Oreochromis niloticus: one gene and its partners. The main gene of each other region encodes a partner of the protein of the gene in region 2 in a complex. Links are inferred from orthologs where the notes say so. Each region holds a gene or a part of one and is shown on either strand. Other genes may lie near its edges. The genes, in order: sf3b4, sf3b1, sf3b2 and sf3a2.

Region 1 (7,940 bases), on a different chromosome or scaffold from region 2:
AAAATATAAAGAATTGAGGGGTGGAGGAAGACACTGTACCACAGTACTTGCCATCAGACATAATTTTAAATTTTATGTCTTATTACTTAACATTTACCCTCTTGGCTGGTTTGTTTATAGACAGTGATGAAGTCTTATTAAGTTCAGCATCAGAATCTGATGCTGGAGGAATATCTGATTGGGAATGCTGTTTCCCACTATCACATCTTCTGACTCTTTCTGGCTGAACTTGCAGGAGGTGCTGGCTCACTACTCCCATCGGGCTCTGGATGATGACATGCGCACTCAGATGGCCGCCGACTGGGTGAACCGAGAACAGAGCGTAGCGGGCACCATTGCGCAGGAGCTGGCCACGACAGAGCGGGAACTAGAGGACGCCAGGCTGGCGGGCAGAGAACTGCGTTTTTACAAAGAGAAGAAGGACATCCTCATGTTAGCTGTGGGTCAGCTCAGTGCAGCCAACACCGCCACTCTGCCGTCACACTAAACCAACCGTCCGATATGGAAACATGCCTTCGCACTCCGTAGGATTCCTGGTAACAGTATTGATCACTTCATAGGTGACTTCTCAGAACGTTTTAGGTTTTGTTTCGTTTCGCGTACCAGGTAATCAAGCCTTGACTTACAGTATGCACATCTTGTCCATAAAACAAATACTAGCCGCTATAGCCCGTTACCTCTTTGTGCCTAGTAATTACAGGATAACAGTGCTTTTTTTTTTTCTAGATGCCTGTAAAAGTGCTCGGCATTCAATGTGACTGGGATTTACATGTTTTGTTTTCATTATTTCATACTGTACTTACTCAAAGTAGACCTATGGAGACAAAGCCTTTATGGATCAGTGAATGTACGGGGCATAAAATGACCCATCAGACCAAACGCTAATGAGGTGTAGCTCGTGTGTTTCTTCTCGGCTTCGGTTTGTTTTGGTTGGTTGTAGTATTCGGGATGGGAAGATGCCAAAATTGATGACGCAAGAAGCCTGTGTTTGTTCATGAATAAAGCACAGGAACAGAGGTCACCCACTCAGCAAGATATGAATGAAGGGGATAAAAGATCCCAGCTAATATCACCGGTTTTCTGTAATGGATGTGCAACCTGCTCCTACAGGTTTATTATGGGAAGCAGCCTCAAATAATACTAGACTTCCAGTAAGCACAGAAATACACTTATTGACTCATGTAATAATAATTTGTGGGTAATTTGCAAAAGAAGAAACATGTCAGCAGGTAATTGATGCTCTGACAGCAGCTCAGGTTTAAAAAAAAGATCAAATATTAAACCACCACTATGCCGTTTTACTTCAGCTTTTGTTGCAAAGGCGTTTTTTTAAAGCTTCGGCGCTTGCTTGGCGACGATGACACTAGCCGAATGTATCATTTTAATGCGCTATCAGCAAAAAGGACCTGCAAAGCAACACGACTTAAAAAAATTACAAATCTGCTCTTGTGATGCAGATTGTGTTGGTCAGCTAGTAGAGTTCAAACAAAGTGAGTGTTTGTTATGACTTAAATGTAGGTCAGGGTCTCAGCAGTTAAAAAATGGAGGCCAGAGAATGAGTTGGGCTTTTTTTTTTCTTTTTTTTTTGAAAGCTGAACCATCAGTTTTGAGTCATTGTAGTCAGAACAGTGCCAGCTTCTGTGGTCTAAGGTTTTTTTTGAGATACTGGAAGGAGAAATTGGGTTTTGGCAGCGTTGTAATGTCTGCATGCCAAAAAAATGTAATATAACAGGCATTTATTACCCTTTTTTACCGTAAATGTCATAACTTTATATTTGTTCGTCTTTATAAAATGCATTTTTATACGTTGTAGGGATAAAGGCGTTTTAACAAGCAGCATTAAAAAGACCCCACGCAAGTTTTAATTGATGTGATACGGCTCTTTTGGATGTAATGAAAGTCAGACAGCAGGAGGGCTCGTTCTTGCTGCTGAATGCTGGATTGTGAGCAGCAGAACTCGATTACACGAAATATAAAGAAAGAACAAATAAAGAAAAAGTGCAGGAAGTTTCTATAACTCATCTCTGGAGTCTTTGTGCCTTTATGAAAATGGTAGCTAGCAATGTTTGAACAGTCATCTTTACACATGTAGTTAATTTCTTACTGTTACAAAGAATAGTTGGGGGAAATTTACTCTGAGAATTTGATTGACGTTACACGCAGGGCGGTCTGGTTAATATGAAGCTTAATAAAGCCGCCTCACCATAGATTAGCATAAAGACTGAAAAGGGATGTAAACAAGTTCCCACACTCAGCCCCAAAGGTAACAAAATCTGACCAATGTTACGTCATTGGTCTGAATCACAGACTGTATATAAAAGATGGACATAGCTTCTCTGTCTAATACAGAAGCTTGTGAGCTACCAAGGTATAGCAAACGTTGAATGCCTCTTTGCAGAAATGGATAAAAGGTGTGGAATCAACGTGTTCATGTCGAAATGTTAGACAGCTCATGACAAGGAATTGATCTACCTTCACAGAGCTTTCTGATTGGCAGAGCTAGCTAAATTTCAACCTAACTTGAAATTTCAAATTACGGATGGCGATTTTTAAAATTGTTTTTCCAGCAAACAAGCTTCCGTAGTCTGAAAAGTGAAGCCAGTGCAAAAGTGCCTTCAACCTGCATTCTTTATAATTGTCAACTCCTCTGGAAGGACTGACCTCAGTCAATACTTTCCTTATGTCATTGTGGTCCCTTTTAAAAGTCCCTTTTAACACACAGCATGATGTCTGTTGGTATATTATGAGCTGGTGTTGACTATGATAAAATACGGTGTGTGCTAGACTGGGACTGTTGTGGAGGGCCGGATCAATAAGCTGAACTACTTTCTGCTCAGTATTCATTTTTCACTCTTCATAAGCTTATTGATCCGGCCCTCCACAACAGTCCCAGTTTCTCACCACTTGTTTGTTATGTCTGGTATCAAAAAAGTCCAGAATGCCAAATGCAAGGCTTCCAAACCAGTGGGCGATGACATGGTGGCTACGTCCATCTTTTAATTACAGTCTGAAGTGGCGTCTGTGCTGGGTAATACTTCCAGTACCTGCAGAGTGTTTTTATCAAATCATTTCCTCAATATGTTACATGCCGTTAGATTGTGAAGGATGTATTTAATGTTATTACCTTTGGTATAAATTTATAAACATTATATACTGGTTTTGTTTTTGTTTTCTTTCTTTGTGCCCACTTTGCAGCATATGTGTGTGGCGCAAATATAAAAATGCTGACTTTGCAGTTCTCTTTAATGAATAATGCAAATTTAAAATTGACTGAAAAAGTCAACTTTATATGTCCTGGTTAGTATTTTCTCTTTTTCAAATGTGTAAATTTCAAATCAGTAAATTTTAAACTTGGTACTAAACAGATTCCCAGGATTTCATATGCAGAAACACTTTCAGTGATTTTATCCTTCTTTGACTCAATTAAGATTAATGAGGAAATGTGATTAATGAGGAAATCTCAAGCAGTGTTTTAATGAACAGCTTAACGGGAAGGAGGCTGAGGCAGTTTGTTTCAATTTAGATGCTCAACATCTGGGTTGGTTTTTTGGTTTGTTTGTTTTTATAGCCACAAGCCATTAATCTCAAGGCTCCTTCTGTAAAAAATGCCTTTGATCTTTCTTTGTTATCAATATTATTGAAGGTTTTTTGAACCGTATGTTTGTTTTTTGCTATTTGTTTCCTAAAAAACAGTTTTGGCTCTGCATGTTTTTGTTTTGTTTTTTCATTTTTTTTGCTTTGATGCATGATGTGTTGATTAAGTTCTGGTTTTATATGTTTCATATTCTATACAGTATTGTTTTATAAGAGTGTTTCTCGAGGTCCTTACTGTTTGTATTTTCTATGAAGATTTTGTATTCCATGTTTATACTTTTAGTAGATTTATATGTATATGTAATAAATTTGCTGTTACAAATGGCACTGTGTCGAGCCACTTGTTTTCAGTGACTGAAAATCAAGGCCACACACACACACACACACACACACACTGGTAATAATTTAATATTCCAAATTAATAAAAAGACATATTCCAGATTTTTAGAGTATAAAAACACTAATTTCATTCACTTTAATTTTTTTTAAATTATGCAGTAACTTGCAAATGCCACCAGAAGGCATAACAGATATATCCCACCCACAGTCTAAATTAGGCATCGTAGCACTGTTTCTGATCAAAACCAAACACAATTAACATTACAGAGCAATACTGGTGAATTTATTTTTCCTCTTTCAGAGCCCACAAAAGTTATCAAAGTAAAAACAACTGTAATAGACCAATTGCCTCTATTACCTCAGATGATCAAAGGACTTGAAACTCTTGTCTAGGTTGCTTGGTTCTCAGGGGGGTTGTTTTAAATCAAGAGAACCATCGAGTTCAATCTCCTAAATCTGGGTGACATATAAATGAAATGATGCAGACTTAGAGCCAAGAGGATCGCAGGGGATCCAGACAGTTGTCCATACTAGCATCAAGGAAATGCTACCTTACTGTGTGCTGGCTGCACACAGTACTACAACCCCACTGACTACCTACCCACAAATCAGCTACTCAGTACCTGGACTATGTTTGAGAAACAAATTAATTATGTTTGTTATTATTAAATAAAAATAAAATAAAATAAAATAAAATAATAGTAAGTTGATTGGATTTTTTCTCTAGTTATGTCTTATTGAAACGTGAGACTAGTTGTTTCAGTAATAAGGAAATCCACTGCATTTATAATATTGTCAATTTTTACACTTTTGTTTGGTAAATTGTGTCCGGAAGCAATTAAAACAAAAATAAAACAAATTCAATTCAAGCTGGAATGAACTCGTTTTTCACATTATGTTCTTTAAAATCCGACATTTAATATCATACCAGAAAAAATTAAATTAAATTAAATTAAATTGAATTTTTATTTTATACTTCCGCTACACAGCATCGGAAGAGGCGGGGTTTCATTGTGCATCGCTCCCCCTGCGTTGGTCATTCAACATGGCAGCGGGACCAATTTCAGAAAGAAACCAAGGTAAACTCATCATTAAACTCTGTTTTGTTTATTTGCACTCCTCATTCATAAAAGTGCTGGTACATTTCACCGGAACCGGCTCAGATTTACTTACTGACTGCCTCGTTTAGACAGCAGTTTGTGATAAACAACCGGCGGATCACATGGAAACATTGAGTTGTCGCTAGCTTAGCATGTCGCTGATTTTGCTTTTCATTCAGATTTTTTCATCCTTTTACTTGTCACTTATATATAAGCCAGAGTTCAGCGTTGGTTTGGGGTTGTTTTGAAGTGTGATTGTTGCGAGCAAATTAGCAGCAGACTTAACGTCTAGTTGACCAACAACTACAAGTAGCCGAGGAAGCTAACAACATAGCTTGTAGCTTCACTCGGCGGTCAAGTTAAACATATTAAACTTCTTTGTTTCTTATCGTGCTGATTTTAGACGGGGACTGTTTCTTGATGTGGGTATATAGGATTTTAGATACCGGTATTTTAGATGTAAACACTAAACGTTTGAGTTTGCATAATAAATATTGTACACGTATATTAAATATGAGGAGAGTGTGAGAGGCAATAAAGGAACTTTAAGAAAAAGCAAGTATCTAATTTTAAAATCTTTTATCCGGTAGTTTCACAACGCATAGTTATCTGTACACATCTTCCAGCTGAATTATATTAGCAGGGCTTCCAAAGGACACAAAGGACTGGATCTCACTGATTAAGTAATTTATTTCCAAATATTATATATTTTTTCTATTCTTGAAGTATCTCTATTGACTTTTACATGTGTCCACAAAAAAGAGATTGATGACCTGTGATGATGCACTGATCATTATGAGGTTTATTCTCTCTTCATGTTTCAGATGCCACTGTATATGTTGGTGGTTTGGATGAGAAAGTGTCTGAGCCGTTACTATGGGAGCTTTTCCTGCAGGCTGGTCCTGTGGTCAACACACACATGCCCAAAGACAGAGTCACAGGCCAACATCAAGGTAAATAATCAGATCACCTTTTTGGCACGTGTTTTGAAGGATCACCAAAAACAAGCTCAGCTAACTGTTTTTGCTATTTTCTCAGGCTATGGCTTTGTGGAGTTCCTCAGTGAAGAGGATGCTGACTATGCCATCAAAATCATGAATATGATAAAGCTCTATGGCAAACCGATCAGGGTTAATAAAGCTTCTGCACACAACAAAAACCTGGATGTCGGTGCTAACATCTTCATCGGTAACCTGGACCCAGAGATTGATGAGAAACTGCTCTACGACACGTTCAGTGCCTTTGGTGTGATCCTCCAGACGCCAAAGATCATGAGAGATCCAGACACCGGCAACTCGAAGGGTTATGCTTTCATCAATTTTGCCAGCTTCGATGCATCCGATGCTGCCATTGAGGCCATGAACGGCCAGTACCTCTGCAACAGGCCCATCACAGTGTCGTACGCCTTCAAGAAAGATTCCAAAGGAGAGCGTCACGGCTCGGCCGCAGAGCGACTCCTGGCCGCTCAGAATCCACTCTCCCAGGCAGACAGGCCTCACCAGCTGTTTGCAGATGCTCCTCCACCGCCAACGGCTCCAACGCCGGTCCTGACCACACTGGGAGCTGCGATGGCCATTCCAGGTAAGAGCAAATGGAAGTTGTTTTATTGTTTTACTGCGGTGTGTTACACAACATTTCAGGCACCGTTCATCAGGTAATGTGGAAAAATCTTGTTTCCATTAATAAGAATTTAATAGGTGGTGATTTTAAGTGATTAGCTTACAAGATGAATTTGGGTGTCTGGTACAACTTGACCTACTTCCAGGAGCAGGAACAAGAAGTAATCAACCTGAAGTGGTCTAAGAATAAAATTTGTTCCTCATGAGTTTTAATCTCTTTTCACATTACACTGTAAAATCTAATTAGTTCCCAGAACTCAAAAAAATTATGGAAACTCGTTGCCTCAAAAAAATTGAGTAAAGCTTAGCTAAAAATGACTAAGTTAGGATAACTTATTTATTTTGAGTATTCTGTACAAGCTCATTTGTTCCCAGAACTCAAAAAGATTGGATCAAGTTTACATCAGATGACCAAGTTAGGGCAACTTACTCATTTTGAGTACACTGTACAGCCTTTTTTTAGTTCCCAGAACTCAAAAAAATTATGGAAACTCGTTGCCTCAAAAAAAATAAGTAAAGCTTACTTAAGATGACTGTTAGGACAACTTAGACATTGCAAGTCTGCAGTATTAACAATAACTTGATATTTCTGACTGTACAATAGTAATTGTTTACCTAACAAACATTTCAAGTTCAACTAAATGAAAAAACAATTTGTGGTAACCTGAATATGATTAAAAATAATTAACAACACTTTTTGTAATGATGTTAAAATCAGCCCAACTTTTATTTTCAAACACAACAAAGTATAACAGCCAAAAATGGACACTGTTCTGCTGAACAACAAACAATTATATTGCCATCGCTGTTATAATCTTACAATGAAACAAAGTCTCAGATGTAATTATTCTGAAAATAAGTTTAGGCCTACCACAAGTTTGTTTTGTACTTACATTACTTATATAATCAAAATAAAATATTTGTTGTTCTGTCACAAGTGCAGTCTCTAATTTAAACAACACATTTGTTTTCCATTCCAACACATGAGCTGGAATGTTGTATTATTTTAAGGATGCTTGTTTCTAGTCCAGGCATTACTGCCTGAATGACTGTCATGGATCAAGGTGATCCAAATGTAGGTGCAGAAGAAAGTCTTTAACTTCCCTTAAGTACAGTGGCAGTGGTTGATGGTTGGAGATGCAATGAGCTTGAACTTGCAGGCGACCATCTTCACTGACCACACCATCTGTGACGGAGGACTCATCTCTCCTGGTGTCCTGCAAGCAAACAATCATATTTTAACTTAATTGCTTTCTTAAAACATGTTTTTTTCTGCTTCTGGTATAAA
Region 2 (6,933 bases):
GAAAAACACAAAGTTTGATCAACTCTGAACTGCTGTAGCTCAAAAATATGATATTCGGGACAGCCCTACTTGTAAGGCAGCGCTTTACGCTGAAGCCCAAGACAATTTGCACTTTGACAAGTCATGTTACTGCATCCAGATAACAGAGAAACTTGAGAGATTTATGAACTAAAATTATGCTTCTGGTTCAACTACCACCAGAGCATATTAATGATATTCCTCTTATATATTTTATATTCACCTATAAAGCTGTGCCCAGTGTGGTAAAGCACAGGACATGGGCAGCTAAATGAGCTAACCTTCATCCTCAACTTCTGTGACAAGCGGACACTGCACTTTCCCATCATAAATCACATTGGGTTGTTAACCCTTCGACTCACACACAACCCATCTGCGACCCATGTTTGTTAGGCAATAAACACCTAACCACCTCTCCCCCTGAAAAGCATGGTAACCCTATATTACCTTTAATGCATGCACCAAATTAAAATCCCAACAACACTGTCCCAAACTGCAATTATGGAAATGAATTGTGAGCCCACACTGACATTTGTTGGAAACAGTTGGAAATTAATAGTGGGAGAAAAACAGCGACACAAAATGTACATGGAGGAAAGGATTGACCACAGGGAAGGCATTGAGTCTGGGAGGCAAGCTATTGCATTGTGGTCGAAGGGTTGAACAGTAAAAACTATTGGTGTAAAAACAGAAAACAAAGAAAACAAAAAGAAAGAAGGGGAGGAGGCAAGGAACTTGGGAAGATGTAAAAAGGTCACAAAAGAGCAAAATTTACCATCTGCAAAGGGGTCGAGACGCTCAGGAGAGATGATCATCTGTCTGCGCCGAGCCTTGTATTCATCCTCCCGCTCTGCAATCTTCTGTGGACGATGCTCTGCAAATGGGTCGTACTGCAAAGATTAAGCACAAAACATGCGATGATTAGTAAAATAGGATTTTGTACAAGCCTGTTTTTTCATTAAAATTAGATCCCTGTTTTAACTGGAATTTAGCCCAAACAGTGAATGAACATACCTGTTCATCTGACTGAGGAATGGCATTAAGTATTGCCACCGGCGCGTGGTACCCTGGCTTCTTTTGTCCCAACAAGCTTGTTGACGTATCATCTTCATCATCCTGAGGTAAGAAAGAGAATAAATGAGTCTATTCAAATCTTGCCAAACTGGCAAGGTTCTCCTAGCTCAAATCCCCAAAACAAGCAGAGGGGAGCAGTCAAGCTCCTTACAAAACTGACAAAGGACAACCTGTGGCTCACAAAACAGCATTCTCGGAAGAAGCTGTGTTTGATTTGGAAAAGGAAAAAAAATAAAAATAAATAAATACTTGCCTCCTCTTGCTCATTGGCAGCAATGGAAGTGACGTATCCTGCAAAGCGACTGTCGCTGCCTTCATAGATCTCTGGGTCAAAAACGCCAGTGGAGATCAGGCCCACTCCCTGCTCTCCATCCTCCAGCAGGGAGGCCTTCATCCCCTGGATCTCTAGGATCTGGGCCTCGATATCTGTAGGGACACAAGGAAACATGGTGAAAAACCACCTGTATAGGTAAGCATGGATGACTGACATACACCCCGGTATCAGCAGTGGTGAATGGAATTGATTAATCTATAAATATTATATTTACTGAAATTTATCTGAGGCATGACTTCAGTTTGTGCTGGATAAGGGTGTAAAACCAGTGTGATAGAGCGTACTGTAAAATTTGATAACATGCCCATATATTTTTCCTTTTCCCCCCCTATTTAGTTCATCCCTTGGCACAGGGAAACAAAGGAATGCTTCATAAAAGGAAAAAAGAAGAAGAAAAAAGCCTTTAGCTCTTCATCATGGAATTTTTTGTACATTTAATCAGGAGGATCTTCAGCGTTTCTTAGCAAGGAGAAAAAACAGATGGGGTATTGTACTTGCAAACGATGCTCTCAAAGAGATTTACACGTTAAAAAATGCTTTAACCCCACACAGAGAATTGGACTGATTGGCAAAGACTAGCAAACGGGCCTTTATTTGCGCTTTCACGCCTTAAATCAAGCTCAAATACTTCCTTACACTCTGCCTGTTAATATCACCGTATGTGACTGTAGTTTTTGATGTAAACATGATCTGTGGTACCAAGACACTGGAACAGTCCTGCACTACAATTAGGTTTGTAAAGTTTATTTACTTTACTGTGAGGTTGCGTTAAACTTATGTATTTATTTTTATTCTATTTTGCAGTACAGGGCTTTATGAATGCACGCCTGTGAAAAGCGCTTTAAAAATAAACGTTACTTACATCATAATTACTGCTTTCACAAACAAAAACTGGGTCACGTAACTCTCAAAGTCATGTCCAAACAGTGCATTAGAATATTTTACAGAAAAGGGTTAACGATTTCCAATACTTGCTACAGAAAACGCCCTCGGTCATTTCCTTCAATATTCCTGCTAAACATCGATTATGAAGCTAATATCAGAGTCTGCTGCCGGACACCAATTGCTGTAGGCATGGTAAACGCTTGTTAGAGGTTGCTAATGCTAACTCGGTTAGCCACGAGAATCACTGAGACATTAAAGAATTACCATCACCTTGGATTACACAGTAACAACAACAAGTTATACTAGCTTAAAGGCGTATCGGACCAAGACAAAAAGCCCAAATGGCGCCCACTATTGCATGCAAGTGTGCAATAAGCTGAGAAAAATAGTCCATTCCAGCTAACAAGAAAGCTAAGCGGTAACCACCAGCGCCATTATCTAAAGCTCCGCGTTGCGTCGTATGAGGCCTGGTGCTTATCGCCTATTTCGCAAATAAACAGGAGCATTACCGTCAACAGAAATACCAGAAAATTTACCGCAATATTTACTGACACCATAAAGCAAAATACGTGGTAAAACAGAACATATTTATGGTAGTTTTAGCAGTAATTTACCTTCGTGCGTTTTGGCGATCTTCGCCATTTTGGTGGCGGTTGTTCGAGACTGAAACCGGATGTGACTTAATTCAGAGTTCCGTGTCTTTCCAGCTGTTCTCAGACCAGTTTTCAATCGCTCAGTAGTTATATTGCTAGTAGTAGGATTAGTATTAGACGTAGTGTATTGACATACTTATAAAAGTTGTAGATACAGTGAAGCAATTAGTATGTGACTTTCCGTCCATGTATGATGTATAATGTCCACTAGCCTAAAACCCCATTAAAAAATCTCAATTGACGCAGCCCTCCAATTGACCTTTCTCATCTTATTTTATTCAGATTTCCCAGATGTTTCTGCTAGAAGCAGCACTCTGATCTTTAATGACAGACTTTTATCAATTGAAATGGAGAATGTCGCCTGACAGAAATCAGTAATATCTCCTTGCACAGCTCCTTCTTTGTCTCCTGGAGTACATTAAAGCCTGTAACTGGGCTGCTTTGTAAAAACGTATACCAAAAAGCCTGTAATTTCACTATGCATGCCACAAACAGAAGTGAAAAGGATAATAAGACAGGTTTTGTTGTTTTGAAGACTTGTTTTTCACAGGGGCTATTCTGGCATGCAGCAGTAGCTAAACATAAGGCTTTTCTAACACCTGGTTCACAACCTTAACTTCAAGTCAAGGCTTTTAACCTCTCGCATTACTAATATCTGTGTTTACCTTTTATTTCATGTGAAACTGGCTTCTTTGAAAGAGATCTATGGTTGGTAAAGTTTCTTCCCCAAATGTCTGTACAAAACACCTGTTATTATAGTTTATGTCCCTTTCTCATAAATGCCCAGCTGTTATTTCTTAGATTTTCTTGTGCTCCTATTGGCTAGAGGACCTATATCTGAAACACTGCAGGGGTGGCTGTAGCTCACGAGGTATAACAGATCATCCACAAAGGCTAGTAGTTAGATCCCTGGCTACATGGCAAATATCCTTAGGCAAGATACTGAACACAGAGTTGCTCTCAGATGCATGGAAGTATGACTCTGTGTGAATGTTGGAAAGCACAGAAAAAAGTGCTTGTATGAATGACACATGCTGTATAAAGCGCTTTGAGTTTGAGTGCTCCAGCAGAGTAGAAAAGCTATATAGAGCAGTCCATCTACTACAGACAATACTTGTGGAGCTAATTGTGAAGCTTTTTTCTTTTCACAGAAAATGAAATTTCAGGACCCAGCCTTGCATTTTGGTTATTAGAAAAGAAAGCTACATGACACTAGATATGTGAGTGACGAGTGTTTATAACAGAAGGATGAGGAATATAGCTGTGGGGAAAGTGACTGATTAGATTTAAAACAGTTGAGTTTTACCTGGTGACTCAGCAGGAAGATGCCAGAAGATGCATGTCGTTGCAGGAAAAACTTGTACCACCAGCTGTGAGGTACTTGACACAGAAGTCAAAGTTTGAATAATAATAATGCCGCCAAAGTGTCCACAAACAACCCTGACTGGGCAGAAATGTTTATACAATTGACAGTGTTTCTGTGTTCAACCTAAACCCCCAAAAAACTTCTTTTTTTTTTTTTAACTTTCATGAGCTTTACTAAAGTGTATGTTATAACATGTATTTTGGACAAGAACACCAGTGCCTATAGGCATATATCATTTCATTCAATATTTATTCATATATATAATAAATGTACCTTACACGTTAGTAAAACAAATATAATGTATCACGATAAGCAAAGAAACTTTCATAATTTACCCCTGAGTTGATGTATATGCAAACAGCTCCCCTTTCCTTTTTAAAAAGGTAAAAAAAAAAAAAAAGCACACAGACAGAAACCTGTTCACTTTCACTTTCAATGTCTTCCTTACTGCAAAGAATTTTAAATATTTCTTTCACTTTGTTATTCAAAAATAGTAGAAACTGTATTCTAACAAATTTGCCCAACAGAGCAGGAATAAATGACAACAAAGAAGGTGTAGTGTAGTCTACAGGTCAACACGTTGACCTATTGATAGTTTTGATATGCAAAGACAAACAGGTTTCACCCGGTTTTCTCGGCCGATAGAGCAACTCGAGCCAACAACTCGTGACTCTATGCGCGTGCGAGCTCGTGCACACGAACCTGAATACGTTGGCGTGACGAACGGCGGGACCGCCCAATAAAAACATTCGGTGGCCACAGATCGTCCAATGGCAAGCGGGTTAGGCCTGTTGAGGGTCGGGCCAAACTGCGCGTAGAGCTCCCTGTCAACTGGTTGATAGCGAGGGAGTGAACAAAGCCGTTAAAGAAGAAGAGAAGATGGCGAGATGCGGTCGGAACTTGAGAAAAGTAGCTGAGTGCATAAAACAGTTACCGTCCACAGCCAACCGGGATATCCAGAACAGAAGCAACGTTAGGTAAAGTGTTTGACTTTTTCAAGTTGTTGTCTGAAACGAGACGGCGTAAAATATGAAGACATACCTCTAAAACGAGCATTTGTACCAAAGTTACTCACTTTTGGTACGGGGTAGCTAAACACTGCGGCGGTGTACGATTCACGGCCCTGTTTAACTCAAGAATTCGTTAACTACATCTCTGTAGATGGTAGAAAGTAGTAAAATGAGGGTCGGGTAAAAGTAGTATTTGGTTTACCTGTGTAGAAATACTTATAGCAAATGTACTACAGTCACGATGTTGCTGTGATAAGCCGCATAGCACATTACACAATAATTTATATTCACTGAAACATTAAATTGTCGCACTTTCACGCATAGAAAAGTAAAGCTGATTTCAGTTTCTTTTACTCTATATGCATTCTCCTGTGGAGAGCAGCAGTCTTAGCGTAAACTACAAAAATGCACGATAATTTGTGTATTGATTATAAACCAGGCTCTTTAATTATTACTATGTTTGCGTAGTGTTTTTTTTCTTTTACGTTCCAACACTGCTGATAGCACAGCCAAGGTGAAGACATGGAAACCTTGAACTTTACATACTTAAACCCCACGATGAAGAAGATCGTAACGATTAGCATCGATTATCTGTGATTTGCAAAACAGTGTAGTAAAAACGACATGCAGGCACAGTCTGAAAATATTCCTAAAATCGTTAAGTTCCATGTGGTAAATGAAACCATCACCAGAACCTGTAGCAGCTTTTCAACAATTATTGTGTCACATGTGATGCATATATAATATTAATTTACTGTTTGTCAGTCATTATCTGTTTATACAACAGCCTCTCTTTAACCTCAAAAGCTGACTGCGTTAGAGTATATTATAAACCATGCAGATATGTTTAATACTCCTTATTGTCACTAAGCAGACAGTGTTTCAGATGATTAGTCTAGGTTCTTTTTTCTATTTCAGCTAGTTATCTCTTATATTGGTCTTAGTCCAGTCCCCAGTCCATTCTCTATATCTCAGCCATTTTATCTCCCACCCCCCTCCTTTAAGCCATCTTTCCTCTGATTGAACAGTGGGTGGGTGGGGTTTCTGTGCTCACAGCCAGAGCTGTGTGCCTGAGATGACCATAGTGAGGCTATCTGAAATTCTAAGTTTAGAGCAGTTTGAAGCCTTAGGTTTTCGGTCACACAGTGTACTTATACATACACCGACCTCATTATTTGAAAATTCGGTCATTTTTAGTATGAGCATCTGCTACTGTATGGCCTATATATTTACTCATCACAAGGTAACATTACTTGTTACCTTAGCCTAAACAACAGCACATTATCTGCTCCCTTAAAATTGAACAAGATAATGCTTTTATCTACATTTTCCTAAAGACGTGTTAAACAAATCCAAAGTGTGCTACTTTAATTAGTTTCTCAGTGTATTTGTATACTTCCATGAACTCATTGTCCAGCTGTCTGTTGTTTGGGTTTAATTCTGCTTTGCACCTTTGTGGAGTTTGAGATGTCTCATTCACCTTTTGCTCTGGGCCATTCTCAGCCTGTACCCAGGATACATTTAGAGGTCAGATGTATCATGTTTCAGATAGTAAAACAGGAGTGAATAGGTTCCTGTTTAGGGGCAGTGGGT
Region 3 (8,018 bases), on a different chromosome or scaffold from region 2:
CTCTGGGTCACGGGGTCAGAAGTCTGAGCAGAACACTCTCACCCCAGCCACCTCTTCCAGCTCTTACAGAGGGACTGGAGGTGTTCCCAAGCCAGCTGAGAAATGTAATCTCTCCAGCATGTCCTGGATCTGCCCCGGGGCCTGCTGATGGTAGAGGGTGCCCAAAACACCTCAACTTAGAGCGGTCCAGGAGGCAATGACATTCAGATGCCTGAACCACCTGGTGGAAGTGGTTCTATTCTGACCTCTCGTGAATGACTGAACTCCTCACCCCATCTCTAAGACTGAGCCGAGCCCGTCATTTCTTTGGTGTCATTCTTTCAGTCACTATCCACAAAATGTAACCACACGTGAGGGTGCCAACACACTGGTAAACTCATGGCCTTGCTTTCATATTCAGCTTCTCACAGCATCCACCATGCTGATTCATCTGTCACCCTCCCGCTCCACTCTCCCTTGTTTGTGAACTAGATACTAGATCAGGGGTGGGCAACTCCAGGGCTTAAGGGCCGGTGTCCTGCAGGTCTTAGATGTGTTCTTGATCTAGTCACAGCTGATTTAAATGGCTAAATTACCTCTTCTACATGTCTTGAAGTTTTCCAGAGGCCTGGTAATGAACTAATCATTTGATTCAGGTGTGTTGACCCAGCGTGATATCTAAAACCTGCAGGCACCGGCCCTTGAGGCCTGGAGTTGCCCACCCCTGCACTAGATACTTGAGGTAGCAACGTGTTCCCACACTGAATTGGCTTTTCCACCCTTTTCCAGCCGAGAAAATGTACGCAGCTCATTGAGAAAATATTTCAATTTAGAGTTCTTCATCCTCTTACCCTTTTCTGTTGCTCCAAAAGATCTTGTTCATCCATGACATGGGAATCACCCTGAGATAGCCACAAACAATAACAGCCAGTCAGACAAAACATGCTTTTTAAACTGTTTTCTGTGTAGTGCAGTTATTGCCGTGTTGTTATGAAGTTATAAAAAACATTTATCCTGTCAAATTGTGGTTTACGTTATGATCACATCTCAGAATGTTACTTTGTTTAATAAATGCAAAACAAATTGGCAAAAATGAGTCAAACAGTAAACTTTAGGTCCAGCTATCCTCACCTGCTTGGCTCTCTCCTCCTGCTGTAACAACATGGCTGCTCTATGCTGAGCCATCTTCAGCTGATCATCCTGTGTGAGGCCAGGTGGCAAAACAGAGTGGTCCATGCCCATGTGTATACCAGGTGGAGGGGGCCCACTAGGCATCATGCTCATAGCTGGGATCATACCCATACCAGGAGGCATGGGCGGCATGGGCATTGGGGGTATGGCAGGGATACCTGGCATCTAGAGAGAAGGAAATACAGGAGACTGTGATGTTAATGGGAAGCACGAAGGACTGAAGTGAAGTCACACTGAGACTGTGTGACTTTCTAGGTGAGATATTAAGGCGTTCAGTGAATTCTCGTTTTTGTTTTGGTGAAGTGTTTCTTAACACCATTCAACATAGTTCTACAAACACATGACAAAACATACTCAACTGTAACAAATTTGCAAGACTGAAAAGTTATGATTACATAAAAGCGACTTTCGGCTGCTCCCTTAAGGAGTTAAAACAGCAGGTAGCTCTGTGATATGTGATTCAGAAGAAGCCAATCCTGACAGAACCCCAAAGAGAATTGTGCCTCCTCCTACAACAGGATCTTTTGCTTTTTAAGCAAATGTGTTACACTCTGTAACAGCTTTAGTAACAGTTGCAGAGGAACCGAATGGCTTGTAAAAATGGGCCATACACCCCATATTATGGAAGATCCCCCACTGCAAGGAACCAGATTGAATGCCTTCTCCAAGTCTACAAAACACATGTAGACCTGATGGGCAAACTCACACACACAGCCTCAAATATGCTTGAGAGCTGGTCTAGTGCTCAAAAACTGCACAATCTAAACACGTAAATCAAAATATAGAAAACATTACATCGACACATTGTAATGTTTTTCACCATTGTATGCTGCAGTATTAAACAGACATCAGTGTTTTCCCTCTAATTTACCTGGGAGCCCATTTGTTTATCATCAGTAGGTTTGCTGAGAAGAATCCCAGTCTGTGGAGGGACACATGTAAAAAACACAAACCAGAACAGTTTCTTTGATTTCAATGAAAAGGAGAAGAGGTTCGAGAAATAGATGAATAGTTTGGATATACTATTAACTTCTGCCCAGACTTTATTCATTACTACTCTAGCGTAGCGTGAAAGGTCATCAATAGTTACAAAAAGCACCATCATTCCAATCAGCTGCACGTTGACTGAATAAAACCGAATCCAAATGCATTTACCTGCATCATGTAGCCCTTCAGTCTGTCAATCAACTCCTCTCTGGGACCTAAAGAGGAGAAAATGAATCGGAAACGGCTGTTAAACAACGCTGATATCACTTTAGGCGTGTAAAATGTGCACCAATAATGTGCCAGAAAAACTCAGAACTCATTTTGAAGTTAACGAGTTACAGAAAAGTAGGCTAATGTTGACCCCTCCATATCAAGTTAGCAAAGCAGCTAAACCGCTGAACTAGTTACAGAGGTAATACGAAGGAAAAAACCTAGCCAAACGCTCTTAGTTTTACCCAACATGAATCACAAGAGTTAAAATGTCACTTACATGATTAATTAGTGCATGAAATTTACTTAACAGAGTGTAAACATAACTCAGGCCTAGCTTAAACTCCTTGCAACGGAAGCGTTGCGTTTTAATGCTACTAGCTTAAGTTAGCAACGGACTAGCTGCCGATAGCCTGTGATAAGGCGTAGTGCTCTACGCGGGTGTTTTTCTTACCCATGTTGGGTACTCCAAGCTCTGCCAGCTTGCCCTGAAGCTCCGGGATGCTCCATGTATTCAGAGCTGCAATAGCACTCCCCAAATCGGACGGGAGAGAGTCGGTGCCCGGCGGTCCGTCGGATGCCATGTTGAGGTTAGCTCAATGGAACAACGGCGGCAGCGGAGGACACGCGAGAGCTGGGGAAACACGCAATGCATGACGGGACGTGAAGTCTGAAGAGAGATTTTTTTTTAATTAAATGCACTGCTACTGCAACATTCAGTCAGATCAAGTACTTTCAAAATATACATTCCCAATAGGACAAAACATAAAATGGGACAAAAATCATATTCTTCAGCTGCGTCCAATGCATTGTGCGGAATAAAAGGCATTCCTTTCAGACACATCACACAACCGAGTCACCCTGTGTTTGAACTTTGGCCATCAGGTAAAAAGATACAGACTAATACAATCCCACACAAACAGACGCTAATCTGTGCCCCCAATCACCCCCCTCACCCCCCATACACTGTGATAGTTTACACTGTTTACAACTTCAGTACGATCTTATTAATTTATTTTCACTATTTGTTCTTTTCTGATGGGCATAAACGCGCTACTAACTGGAGTCGCTAGATGTCACCGTTGGCTGCTTAGACTTGAAATCCTTTAAATGTTGCCGTTAGAAGAATAAAGAACTTCCCTATTTTTACATTTTATAGCTTACAAGTCTACTGACCTTTTAAAGTAGGTATAAAATAGAAATACTGTGCGTAACTAAACTTCAAATGGAGTCTAGCACTTGGTAAATGTGTCCTTTTTAGTTAGGCTCAGTATTTGTAAAACCATAGAAAGGGATTTTTATCTTTTAAAGGGCAGCATAATGCATATAAACGCGCACTACCATAATGAACCACAGCATCAAGTAAAATCTGCTGCAAACAAAGAGCACTACATGAGAGAACAGCGCACGAATCCCTCCCTTTCAGTGTAGTTTTATGACTTGCGGGCACTGCGCAGTCGCATTGGAACGAGGGCACACATAGCGGCAGCAGGGCGTTTCTTCTGTATAGAGAAGAGGGGAGGGTACAAGGAAGGGTACATACTAAACATGGAACGGAAAGCATGTTGTGAAGTTGCATGTTGAATTTCCGTAACAAACTTTTTTTTTTCAGAGGAAACGCATTGCAAGGTAAATATGAGATTCATCCTTCAACATCACTTTACATCAGCAGTTTAGTGTCGGGGCGCAGGGAAGTGCACTGTGCAAAACGCGTTTGTCCTCCTGGTCTGAACTTTTTTTTTTTTTTAAGAGCAGAACTGGAAGTTTGTGAGTTGTTGTTTAGTTTAGTTTGTAAAGCCGGAACAAACTACAGTCAAACACGAGTCTGGCCCTGGTTTCACGAGAGTAATAACCAAGAAATATTACTAGCCCACATTAGTGTGCTGTTGATTCCGCAAAATCTGCTTTTCCTGTGTTAATCTTTATTAATTTTTTTTTTTTCACCGTGACTGATGGAAGTGAAGGGATAGGAAATTCGTCAAACAGCTGTTCGTGTTGCTCATTGTTTATTTCTTTCATTTCATTTTTTTCCCCGGGACCACACCTATCTATCTGTCATAGGAGCTTTTGCTTATCTGCGTGAGCCATGCGCCCAACTTAAAGTTTTATTAAGAGCAAAATCTGCTGGAGCTGAGGCGCATGCTCTAACGAGTATTCTCTAATTGTAGCCCAGTGTTTCTAAAGGCTGCTTGTTTTCCCTGCAGACTTTGATGAGAAAAATGACTCTCACACAGAAGTCAGCATGTTCCCTGCAGCGGTCACTGTGTGTGTGTGTGTGTGTGTGTGTGTGTGATCTCTCTGCTGGTCTATTTTCTCCAAACACTTTGGATATTTTATCACACAGTAAACTGTGTTGGAACATGAACCCCTGCATGCAGAAATACACCACAGGCGCTCAGAAGGCTTACTCATGCCACAAACTCTTGACTCCACCCTCCCAAAGGCAACACTTATTTACTATCAGCATGCATTTAATCAGCCCAAGTCGTGAGGAGGAAACTGGACTCAGACAGTCATCGGCAGAAAAGCATTAGTCACACATAGTTGATGATTGCAGTGCTTTCACAGCCTTTGCATGGCTGCACAACCCCTATGTTAAAGGAAACATCCTGCTGCTGTGCCAAAACAAATAAATAAAAGAGCTGGGTTATAGGTTGGATGAAAGTGCACATTTTCAGTTTTCTTGTGATTATACTAAGTGTTGCATTGCTAGACGATACGGTAGCACATTCTCTTGTGCTACCACCCACATTGAGGGGGAGGCTAAGCGCGTGTGTGTGTTGGGATGTGGCGTGAGGGTATGCAGGCTGCATGTATTTCTCATGTGAGGGGAAGTAAAATATTCATTAGAGTCAGATTGAACTGTTGTTGGGTAAAATGTGCCCGATGGCAGCCAGCAGAGGTAAAAACCACACAACTGAGGTTTTAACAGAACACGTTATGATCCTTTGTTGTTGGTTTAAGTAATGGGGCCATGGGTGTCTTGTCATAAAACTAACTTAGAGTGACATGCATATTGAAAGCGTATGAGTAGTTGTTTGTGGTTTGCAAGTATTTCATGGTAATGGGTGTGTTTTGTGAGGGGCAGTGTTTTTTTTCCTCACAGAGCAGTCACCTGACACACTTCTGCCTACAGTCAGTAGCTCCTCCCGTTCTAGGAAAAGTTAAGTTATAGGAGTGCTCAATCATTTCATTCAGGTGACAATGCGACTACGTTAACAGTGGGGAAAAAAAGATGTAGAAATCAGGTGTAACTCCTCCTTTCCGCCACATTTGGCACATCCCTCGTAGGAGGTTGACTATAAAGCTTGTACAGAAGGGTCTGTCTGGACAGGTTCCTGGGATCAAACTAGAAGGTGCAGTTTAGAGGAGAGGTAAGAAACAAACACATGGGCCTGACATGAATCTGAAAACTTTCATTTTTAACCAGACTTTTGTTAGGGTTAGGGTTAGACTCAGCAGTGAGGGGAAGAACAGGGACAATTTTATTAATGGTAATAAAGGGATAAACATGGTCAGCAGGATGGATCCATGCTTTCATATTTTTGCCGTATTCTGACAGTAACGTTCTAATGTTGTTGCTAAAATTGAGTCTCATTAGAGCAGAAAATTTCCGATCATCTATTGTCCAAATCTGCAAATCCTGTGCGAACTGTAGCCTCAGTTTCTTGTCCTTAGCTGATGGGAGTGTCACACTGATGTAGCCCGTCTGCTTGTTGTGTTTGTGTTGTGTGTTTAGAGACGCTCTTCTGTTCACTTTGGTTATAAAGAGCAGTAATTTGAGTTACTGTTGGCTTCCGATCACCTCGAAGCAGTCTGACATTTCCACTTTGACTTCTGACATCAAGAAGATTTTCACCAGAGAACTGCCCCTCGCCAAAATTTACTCCGTTTTGGCTCACGCTGTGTAAACTGTAGAGATGGCTGTGTGGGGAAATCCCAGCAGATTAGCAGTTTCTGAAATACTCAGACCAGCCTGTTTGACAACAACCGTGCCACATTCAAAGTCACTTAAATCACATTTCTTCCTCATTTTGATGCTCAGTTTGATTTCCAGCAGGTCGTGTTGACCATGACTAAATACCTGAATACACTAAGTTGGTGCCATGTGATTGGCTAATTAGATATTTGCATTAACACACAGTTTAACAGGTGTAACTCTAGAGGCCACTTCACTAAAGGTATTTACATGTCCACATTTAATTTGTACATACATTTATATAATAAAGAAAAATAGTGTTGGCACTTGTAGTGATGCTAATGCTAATATGTGGTACAGATGCTAAATAGCTCTTTATAAAGAATGCAGGAGGAAGCAACAGTAGTTGTTACAGCGGTGGCAAAAGTGCCTTTGTTATTGTGAGTAATAATGCTTGTGGTAAGAAATATAATGGCAGCAATAGTTGTGGGTGCAGCCATTAATCAGCGCTTCCAGCTTTGCTAGCTGTAGCTTTAGGGGTCTATTAGCAGAAATAATGTGTAGTACTCATGTACATGATCCTAATGTAGTTTCATCATGCTAGCATGTGCAAAGACAAGTCTTTGTGTTGTGTAATTTAACAGATGAGAAACCTGCTGTCGCAGCTGCATGCTCAGTTTTTGGCTCTCTTAGCAGCAACATTCTTCACACAGTCAAATGGGCCATCTTTGTGGGTGTGGTTCACTGTTAGCAGGAGGAGGAAACTCTTACATGGCCCCACTGCTACACAAGCCAGTGAAAGCCACATTCTTTTCTGTTTCTGCTGTGACGGACACCTGTGGACTGAAAACAGGAAGTGCGTATCTTTATGTGCATATCTGAGGTGAGGGAGTGAAAAAAAAAGCTGACAGAGTTGAAAGAAGATAAAAATAAACGCCTTCCACTCTGTGTTTGATGGAAAAGACGCAGACTCAAAGCAAAACAGTGAGACTAACTCAGTCCAAAGCTCCAGTTCTGTCTGTGGTGGCACTAATGATAGTTTATGCTTCCTCATCCCAGCCTCTGCTTAATTAAAGCGTCACACAGAGAGCTCGTGCTTGTTCTTTGCCTCATGCAACCTTTATCGTAATTCACACAAAACCACACACGCATCCTCCTTTGTTAATGTGCTTTTCTGATTAAACATTGACTTTAAATGTAGTTCTCACTTACACTGTGCACACATTCAGTGCACCACAGTAAAAGTTGGCACAGATGTGCCATGTGTGTTAGGCTTTTCTAAGAATGCATGCGTGGTTGACTTCAAAGAAACAAGGAGACCTCGTTTCACATGGAGGGTGTTCACGGCCTGTGCTTTTGTTCTCTGATGTATGTGTAGATATTGGTATGTACAGACTTGTATCTCACTGGATAACTTTTTTACTCTTGTGCTCAGTTCCTCACTTTCAGCTTCTTTTTTGTGCAGGGTTTGGCCACTGCTGTGATAAGGACAGGCTGTGATCCTGCACGGTGGGAACTTGCCAAAAAAAGAACAGACGAGGACTAGTGTTATCTGGAATTGGATCTTTTGCACTGAGGAAGACGTCTCTGCTGTGACAAACTTGGGATTTATTTTAGCTCCTCCGTTTTTGATTGCAATCAAAGCATCCAGCGAGAGTGCAACCACATGCACCACAAGCAAGCAGCAGCCTAGCCTCATCAGTGCTTAATAGCGTCTTAATAGCTACTGATG
Region 4 (7,994 bases), on a different chromosome or scaffold from region 2:
CTAATGTAAGGCCCTCTGGAGGGGGTGGCCTCATTGGCATGGGGGGCATGGGCATCTGTGGGGGCATCTGAGGGGCTCCTGGGCCACCAGGCGGGAGAGGAGGGACGGGCATTCCCCCTGGAGGCGGAGGGGGCAGAGACTCGTTTGATGGGTGATCTCCACTCATAAGGGGAGGAGGACGCTTCACAGTGGCAGCAGGTGCTGGACCGCTCGACTGGGTAACAGGTTTCTCCATTTTGAAGTGGAACTGTAGGAAAAACTGGATAGAAAAACAAAAAAAGAACAATTAAAGACATTTTTGGAAAACTAATATACAAGTTCCACTAGTTTAAACTTGTATATCACAGAAACTTTTTACAAGGATCTTTAAGATGAAGAAATAAACATATAGAACAAATATTAAGTTCACTTTATTGACTCACTGTTCCTATCAACTGCTATTTGTGCATAACAGCTTGAAAAAGTTAGAACTATAAACAAGTTCAAGAGACCATTTTACCTTCATTCACCCACGGGCTGACATTCACCCACATGTGTTTACTAATTAGATTAGGTTGCATGTAAATGAGGTAAACAATGATTCAGAGCTCTCTCTCACTCTGTGATACATTATTGTCTTCTCATACGGAAAGACGGGGAAAAATTCCCCAAGGTGCGCATCTTATCAGACAGAGTTTTTCTACACAAAAAAAGCAGCTAAATCTACACCTCTGCTTTTCTGTTTTTGACACACAGTGTGCCCACTTTGCTTCACCCCTCCCATTGGTTCTGGCAACTGGACCTAATAACTCTACTGGCAGGCACTCTGTAACATAGCTGGTACCTGTTTAGTTTCTTTGTTCCAGTGGGTCCAGAAGCGGTTTTCTGCTTTATCAATTTCTCTGCTGGGTACCTAAAACAGCAAACATCTTGTTATTACAGGAGTGAAGGAAAAATGACAAAGAAAAAAAACATAAGGGGAAGAGAAAAGTGCAGGTCTCACCTTGAAAGCAATGGTCTCATATGGTTCAGCAGCAAAAAGCAGGTACTGCCAGCGACGATCGGGAGGCTCAATGCGCTGTTCGTAAGCGGACATGAAGCGATGCCTGGGTCCAATTCCTTCAGCGATCTCTGGATAGTCAATCTGATGGGCCAAGAAAAGAAGGTCAGTAACACATGGCCTTTACTGTTGTGGTACGAAACTTTGCAGGTTAGAGCATGAGGTTATGATTTGTTCCTGTGACCCAGTTTCAGTGTAAAGCTCCTTTCGCCAACTGACTAACAAGATTGAGTTTGCCACATTTATGCAGAACTCACCAGATTATCCAAAGAATAAGTGTGCATTTTGCTTTGGTTTGAAGCACACAAATAATAACTTATTTACCCGGCTTCAAAAGGGTACTGGATTATATGCATTCTTTCAAAATATACAAACCTGGAAAAGTAAAGATTGCTGTCCCGTCTCTGGATCCCTCTGTTTGGTCACTGTGAATAATTAATAAAAATTAAAAAAAAAAGATTAATTTTTTTGACAATGTATTTTGTAGAGAAACTAGTATTAAAAACCAAACTGTGACTGCCATATAAAATGCCAGAGCTTGCCTACCTTTGTATCCTGGTCGACCAATTTTGACAAATTTCTTGACCTCAACTTTCACTTTGGCTGGAGCTGGTTGAGCAGGAGCTTCTTTTGCTTCTTTGGCTGCCCTCCGTGCTCTGAAAAATGTATGTAAACAGTTTCCAGCAACTTTAATTAAATCAGAACATAAAGTAACAGCTCTTGCACTTCTGTGTTGTAGCACAGATAACTTATGGACTTACAGATTGGTCTGGTGTTTCTTTCCTTGTGTGTGAGCCAAGTAGCTTCCCTGAAATACAGAGAGACATTTTTGATTTTTCTTTTCAAATAAGACACCCAGATGACAAGAAATAAAAACAAATTCAGTGAACAGAGAAATGTCTCATTAGGTGTCCCTCACCTCATTGTTGTGAAGTGTCAGACAAAGTTTGCACTCGTATGATCCTAAATGGTTCTTCATAAAGTAGGGGTCTTTGTTGATATCAATGGTCTCCAAGGCCAACTGACGTAACCGTTCTCGCCTGTCACGGTTACTCTCAGAGGCAGACGCCACCCCTCCGCTCCCCGTCTTCCCTCCAGCTCGATGCTGGAAATCCATTTTTGTAAGGTTTTGGAGTCAAACAGTCACACGAATGTGGACAGTTACTCCAAATAGATTCCCCTGATTACCTGGTTAAAAATAAAACAATAAGTACTGCCAGTGAAGGTCGACATTAATAACCCTGCACTCCAGGGCTGTAGCACAACAACAGCATCATGTGTAGATTGGCATTATTACTTGTGTTTTAGCTAAGGCTCTAACCTGGACACATTTTTATTGCTCAAACCTACATGGGTCATACAACCTGTTTTAAAAGCAGCTCGTCATTACAATCCCCTCTATACGAAGATTCCCAATGCTAACTTCCTTACAAAGAGTCAACATGAACACTGCGGAGTAAGGCCCAAACAGCGGATTTTAGAGGACCAAGTTAAGTTATCTGTGGCAATTTACCAGCGTACAAAAAAAATTCTTCCCATTATTACAAAAGAAATACATTCTGCGAATGATCCCAACAACATCTAGCTAGCTGTAGCATGTTAGCATACAAAAGCCGCTAAATGCGCTAGCAATTTTAATGCTAAGCTAATGGTGCTGCCAACTAATAATGAAAAGCTTTTAACAAATACAGATGATTAAAGTGAATATTAAAAATGCAAAATCACCACATCCGTTAGCCACAAAATTAAACATTTTAGGAGACTACAATCAGATTACTTTATCAAAACACTCACCAGCTCAACGACAGCGACACGCTCACCTGATTTGTTCTGCGCATGCGCTTCAGTAGATTCTTTTTCCCGGGTTTTGGTGGTTTGTAAAAAACCCTCTGGTGTGTTACTGCCACCTGCTGGGCTGGATCTCCAGCCAACACGACGGCTGGGCCTATGAGGGGGGACTTCTTGTTCTTAAATTTCTGATTGTTTCACAGCAGCAGACACAGGAGGTAAAAATTAATTAATTTAAAAAGATAAACTGCTCAGTGGTTCATTTAGAAATTCTGGCTTTTTTTCCTAATTCATTTTCAGTAGAAACACAATTCTAAAACATAAGTTTTATAGTTTTGCATTTAAAAACAATTATTTCATTGTAGTTGACAGTTTGTTAGTTTCGGTTTAGTTTTCAGGTAAGCTGTGGTGCTAAGGGGCCATTCTCCGCTGACCTCTAGTATTAGAAAGACATTACAAATACATTTGTAATACCAGCAGAGAATCAGAATCAGAATACTTTAATAATCCTTAACAAAATTATGTGGGTTTCAGTTGCTCCAAGCCAATAACAGTAACAGACTAAAGTAATGAAATAATACAATATATTACAAAGTTTACAAATGTAAGAAATAGCACTAATATAGACACATGTTCAATTATAAATATCAAGAATATTACAGAGAACTGCTGCCCACTGGATTTCTTCTTTTTTTTTGGACGAATCTCTGTAAAACGCTATAGATCCTTGGGCAGGAAAATCCCCATAGACCATGCTAGGGCTCTTCGATATAACGATATATATCGGATGACGATATAAAAACGTCTATCGTTTAATTTTACGCTATCGTTTGTTTCATGGTGTCGCAAAATAAACTGTTTACGGCAATATTTTTTCATTATTTTGATGGTCACTGTAGTGGCTATATTTATTTCCTAAAGTTCTCTCTTTCTCTTATATTTAATATAACCACACTACAGACGGACAAGCGCTTGTTTTTATGCTTGTCGTTAGCAACAACGACGGTAAAACCACCTCGTGTCCGCTTGTTTATTTTCCACATAAACCTTTCACAATAAAGCTCAAGATCCTGTTGAGACTTTTCAAAATAAACTGAATCACGTGAAAGATGCAGAGTATTTACGGATGAGAAGCAAAAATGAGCCATCAGGTGCTAAAAAATAAACCTTAGACTCAAACGTTAGAACAGGCTTTTCCCCGCAGCACGCTGTGTAATAAATACTCACAAAGAAAACGGCGGCCATTACAACCTATGTCTAAAAATGTATCGTTTCATGCATCAGTTAAAACACTCGACTCCAGGTACCCGACGCCCAGCTGGAAACATTTCACGCAAGTCGAGCTGCTCGACATTCACAGAATTTACAGAAAATGTTACATTTTTGTGATTTATATCGTTATCGGACGATAGATGTCTTAATATCGGGATATGAGATTTTGGTCATATCGCACAGCCCTAGACCATGCCACATTCATAGTCTATTAAATCGCCTTTTCCCCCACTCTAATGCTCGGTTTCAACTTCTGCAGTTGATCTTGAACATGCCTACATGCTTACATGATTACATATTTACTTTAATGAACAAAGTGGCCTATGAGTGTACCTTAGTACGCTAGTTAGTGCAAACCAAACGGAAAATGTTTAGGTTAACCAGACTGAAGCTGGGGCCTCTGTTTCCGGATAAGAAACATCTAAATGCTGACTCTTGCACAGAACAAAGGAGCCATTTTTGACCTGCAGAGGGCAGTAACGCGCCTGACCAAGAAGAGGAAGAAGACAACCTCGGCAGAGAGGAGTGTCATTACTAGAGGTGTGTGAGTGTGGCATGAAGTCCAGAGCTGTTGTTTTCAGTTGACCCACAGAAATGATCAAACGCAGTCCGACAGGTTTCGGGGACGTTAGATAACGAAGCAGCGACGTGGACTCAGCGGTGTATACAATATAGTCCTTGCACCGTACTACCGTTAGCTAACTCCTGTGTTATGCTTTCGACTGGGGGTACGGGTCCTCTTTAGCATCCGTGTACCTGCGTGTGTCCGTCTGTCCAGCCTGTGAGTGTTTGTGTGTGTCCGCGATGCGTTTCAACGAGAAGGAGCTGGTGTTACTGAGCCGCCAGCCGTCGGAGAGAGCAGCTGAACTGGGGATGAGAGGTCCCAAGAAAGGAGATGGTAAGGACAGTCATTCAGACGCACTTCCGTTTCGTGTATTTGGGCACAGCAGCTAATGTCAGCATCAGATATTAGACATATCTCTCTCTGTATACTTCATGCGACAGCTGGGCTGCTTTGTGTTTGTTGTAGAGACGAGTTTGTCTGTCTAACTTCCCTTTTGTGGCCTTGCAGTTGTAAAGAAGAGGCTAGTGAAACTCGTCGTCAACTTCCTCTTTTATTTCCGGACTGATGAGGAAGAGGTCAGTATGCTTGTTGTCACAGCATTTTCTGTGATAAATTGAATACATTTGTTTCAAAAGGGGGGTCAAAATTAACTGAGTGTTTATTTGGCAGCCAATTGGAGCTTTGCTGCTGGAGCAGTGTAGGGTGGAAAGGGAGGACAGCCAGACTTTCTCTATTGGTAAGCTACAGCATCCTTTAGAGGTACAGTTAGGAGTGACTAAGTCTGTAAGTGACCGATTTGTTTTTGGTAGTTTTGCCTCTGTACACAACCCCAGTGGTTTTTATATCAAACAATGAACATGCCTTTGAAGCGCAGACTCCCAGCTTTTATTCAGGGGCTATAACAACAATGTCACGTTACCTGTTTAGGAGTTACAGCCATTTTTATAAAACAGTCTTTATTGCAGCCGCCTTCAGTTACTAGTTTTGTGTTATTGGGTTGAGATCAGGTGACCAACTTCAGTTGAAGACGATTCCTTTCTTTGGCTTAAAAATCTCTTGAGTTGCTTTTGCTCATATTTCTGTCAGCAGACACAGAGTGCAACTCCCGCCGAAGAGCAAGGGCTGTACTAAAACTGTTATATTTTATGATGTCTTTATTACAACATGCTGACATCAACCTGTTAATGGCATCATTGTGACATCATTGGGTGTCGTATTGAGACAATTGAAAGTGTGTTGTACCGCTCTCTCCATGTGCTTTCATATGATATATTACTCAATATGATTTCTTTAAAATGGTTTTCAAGGTCAACTTTGACCTTGGGTGCTAGTAATGAAGATAAAGACAATCCATTAAAAAAATTGTGGATGATATAAAGTTTACAGCTTTTTTTTCATATTCTGTGTGACTTTAACATTGACACAATTTTCACTAAAATTAAATCAACTCGAGCTGTTATTGGTATCTACCATCACACCAAATGTGAAAATTATATCATGAAAACCGTGGACACTAAACTGCTAACAAGCAGACAGACAAATGGTACCGATTACATACTTCCTCCCTTTGGAGGAAAAATAAACACTAGTGATCCGGTTCCACTGGCAGCCATATAATGCCCATGTATGACAGATAATGTGTGATGCCTCCGATCATGAGCTGTGTCTTTCCTTCTCTGTACTTTTCTCCTTCCATCATCCTGGTACAAGTTCATCTTGGTTTGATCTGAGCAGACTCTTTTAGATGTTTTCTGACAAAGTCTAATCTGGCCTTCCTTTTCTTGAGTGTAACCAGTGGTTTGCACCTTGTTGTAAACTCTCTGCATTTCCATTCATGAAGGTGTCTCTTCATTCTAGACTTATGTTGATTTGCTACCTTCACAACAGTGTTCTTGGCTCGATGTTGTTGGATGTTTTGGCGTTGTTTTTCCTAACCATGCAAATAATTCTGCAGTCAAGCACTTTAGTTGTCTTCTGTGGCCTTTAAGGCCTTTTGATGTTGCTGAGCTGGCCAGTGCATTTCTTCTTTTTTTTAAGAATGAACCAGATTGCTCATTTGGCTGTTCCTACAGTTGTTGTTGTCTCTCATTTAGGTTTATTTTGGTTATTCGGCCTCCTGCGCCTTCATCAACATCATCTGGAATCAACTGCATACTTTTTATCTGCTTATCTTGTCATCGAACAAGGAAACAGGACACACCTGGTCATGAAACTGGCAGTCAGTTGTTTGACTGTGTAAGAAATGGCTGTAATACCTAAACAGTCAGTTCATCACTTTTGTTAAATACATTGAGTTAAAGCTAAAGTCTGCACTTCTGTCATATTGTAATAGTTTGATGTAGAATGAACCGTGGTGGTATATAGAAGCAAAACTACAAAAACATATTGACCTAACTGTATATTTCACTCTGACTTATTTTCACTTTCTCACCTGCGCTCTGCTGTTTCTGTTGGTTTCCTTCATGTGTTTCTGATCTCTAATGCCCTGTATTTGCTGTAGCATTTCTGGATGAAGCAGAGAGGAAGTATGTGTTTGAATGTGATACTGAAGAGCAGTGTGCCGAGTGGATAGACTCCATTATCAAAGCAAGGTAGGACTGACTTTTCTTCTTTCTTATTCCAGGGAGCACAGAAGCTTACAGATACTTACAGCCGTCAATAAGTGATTAATAAATGGAGAAAAACTTAACTTTTAAACCAAATGTATTTTTTTGATCGGGTGTCAAATAATATCCCACAAAGGTCAGAACACACTCACTGTGTACTCCAATAGTTACACCTGTTAAACTGAGCTTTAAAGCAAATATTTAACCAGCCACGTGACAGAAACTCATTGGAGTTAGCCAAGTAAACACAGTCATGATGATCTGCTGAAGTTCAAACTAAGCATGGTGCCGGTAGTGATGGTCAAGACAAAAAAAGTAAAACCCTTAACCCCCACAGTGAGTAGTTTTGTTTTTTCTATTTGTTTAATTTGCTATATTACGTATTTAAAAACACAGAGCTGTACTGACTACATATGCTCATAAAGTCTAAAGGAAGAGCATTTTGTGTGTGTTTTCTAACTTAATAACCAAATAATGAAAAGCTGTGTTCTGCACAGCTGAATATGCTTACACATCTATGCCATTTGAACAGTGTGGGTAGAGCAAGTGACACCTCAGATAGTAACAGACTCACATGGGTGAAACTGTCACAAATGAATGATTTTGCTGTTTTCAGAGGCACAGTGTTAGAAATGTGACTGTTAAACGGCTTCAGTCTAATCCATAACAGCTCTGACATATTGTTTTAAAGCTTACTGGGAATGCATAATACTCCCAAACAGCA

The links.
Region 1: sf3b1 (region 2) and sf3b4 share a complex: the UniProt entries of both Homo sapiens proteins name them as parts of the SF3B subcomplex of the 17S U2 SnRNP complex. The link is inferred for Oreochromis niloticus from reciprocal best matches to the Homo sapiens genes SF3B1 and SF3B4.
Region 3: sf3b1 (region 2) and sf3b2 share a complex: the UniProt entries of both Homo sapiens proteins name them as parts of the SF3B subcomplex of the 17S U2 SnRNP complex. The link is inferred for Oreochromis niloticus from reciprocal best matches to the Homo sapiens genes SF3B1 and SF3B2.
Region 4: sf3b1 (region 2) and sf3a2 share a complex: the UniProt entries of both Homo sapiens proteins name them as parts of the 17S U2 SnRNP complex. The link is inferred for Oreochromis niloticus from reciprocal best matches to the Homo sapiens genes SF3B1 and SF3A2.

What each region holds. Positions count from the first base shown.
Region 1 is NC_031985.2:19,772,813-19,780,752, reverse strand, and holds the start of sf3b4 (splicing factor 3B subunit 4), read left to right. Parts: upstream 1-4,925; 5' UTR 4,926-4,978; coding exon 4,979-5,012; intron 5,013-5,857; coding exon 5,858-5,986; intron 5,987-6,071; coding exon 6,072-6,614; intron 6,615-7,940. Other genes in the region: lix1l (LIX1-like protein), read left to right, coding at 236-487. UniProt on the Homo sapiens protein: Component of the 17S U2 SnRNP complex of the spliceosome, a large ribonucleoprotein complex that removes introns from transcribed pre-mRNAs.
Region 2 is NC_031987.2:32,303,562-32,310,494, forward strand, and holds the start of sf3b1 (splicing factor 3B subunit 1), read right to left. Parts: upstream 3,014-6,933; 5' UTR 2,954-3,013; coding exon 2,926-2,953; intron 1,519-2,925; coding exon 1,346-1,518; intron 1,135-1,345; coding exon 1,033-1,134; intron 909-1,032; coding exon 794-908; intron 469-793; exon of another isoform or gene 1-468. Other genes in the region: coq10b (coenzyme Q-binding protein COQ10 homolog B, mitochondrial), read left to right, coding at 5,210-5,307. UniProt on the Homo sapiens protein: Component of the 17S U2 SnRNP complex of the spliceosome, a large ribonucleoprotein complex that removes introns from transcribed pre-mRNAs.
Region 3 is NC_031967.2:24,041,324-24,049,341, forward strand, and holds the start of sf3b2 (splicing factor 3B subunit 2), read right to left. Parts: upstream 3,007-8,018; 5' UTR 2,952-3,006; coding exon 2,822-2,951; intron 2,373-2,821; coding exon 2,326-2,372; intron 2,093-2,325; coding exon 2,042-2,092; intron 1,336-2,041; coding exon 1,111-1,335; intron 882-1,110; coding exon 831-881; intron 1-830. UniProt on the Homo sapiens protein: Component of the 17S U2 SnRNP complex of the spliceosome, a large ribonucleoprotein complex that removes introns from transcribed pre-mRNAs.
Region 4 is NC_031982.2:13,069,717-13,077,710, forward strand, and holds the start of sf3a2 (splicing factor 3A subunit 2), read right to left. Parts: upstream 3,002-7,994; 5' UTR 2,860-3,001; exon of another isoform or gene 2,834-2,859; intron 2,228-2,833; 5' UTR 2,157-2,227; coding exon 1,959-2,156; intron 1,848-1,958; coding exon 1,801-1,847; intron 1,696-1,800; coding exon 1,586-1,695; intron 1,465-1,585; coding exon 1,415-1,464; intron 1,124-1,414; coding exon 983-1,123; intron 893-982; coding exon 824-892; intron 260-823; coding exon 1-259. Other genes in the region: plekhj1 (pleckstrin homology domain-containing family J member 1), read left to right, coding at 4,525-4,639, 4,845-4,997, 5,172-5,239, 5,334-5,400, 7,165-7,255. UniProt on the Homo sapiens protein: Component of the 17S U2 SnRNP complex of the spliceosome, a large ribonucleoprotein complex that removes introns from transcribed pre-mRNAs.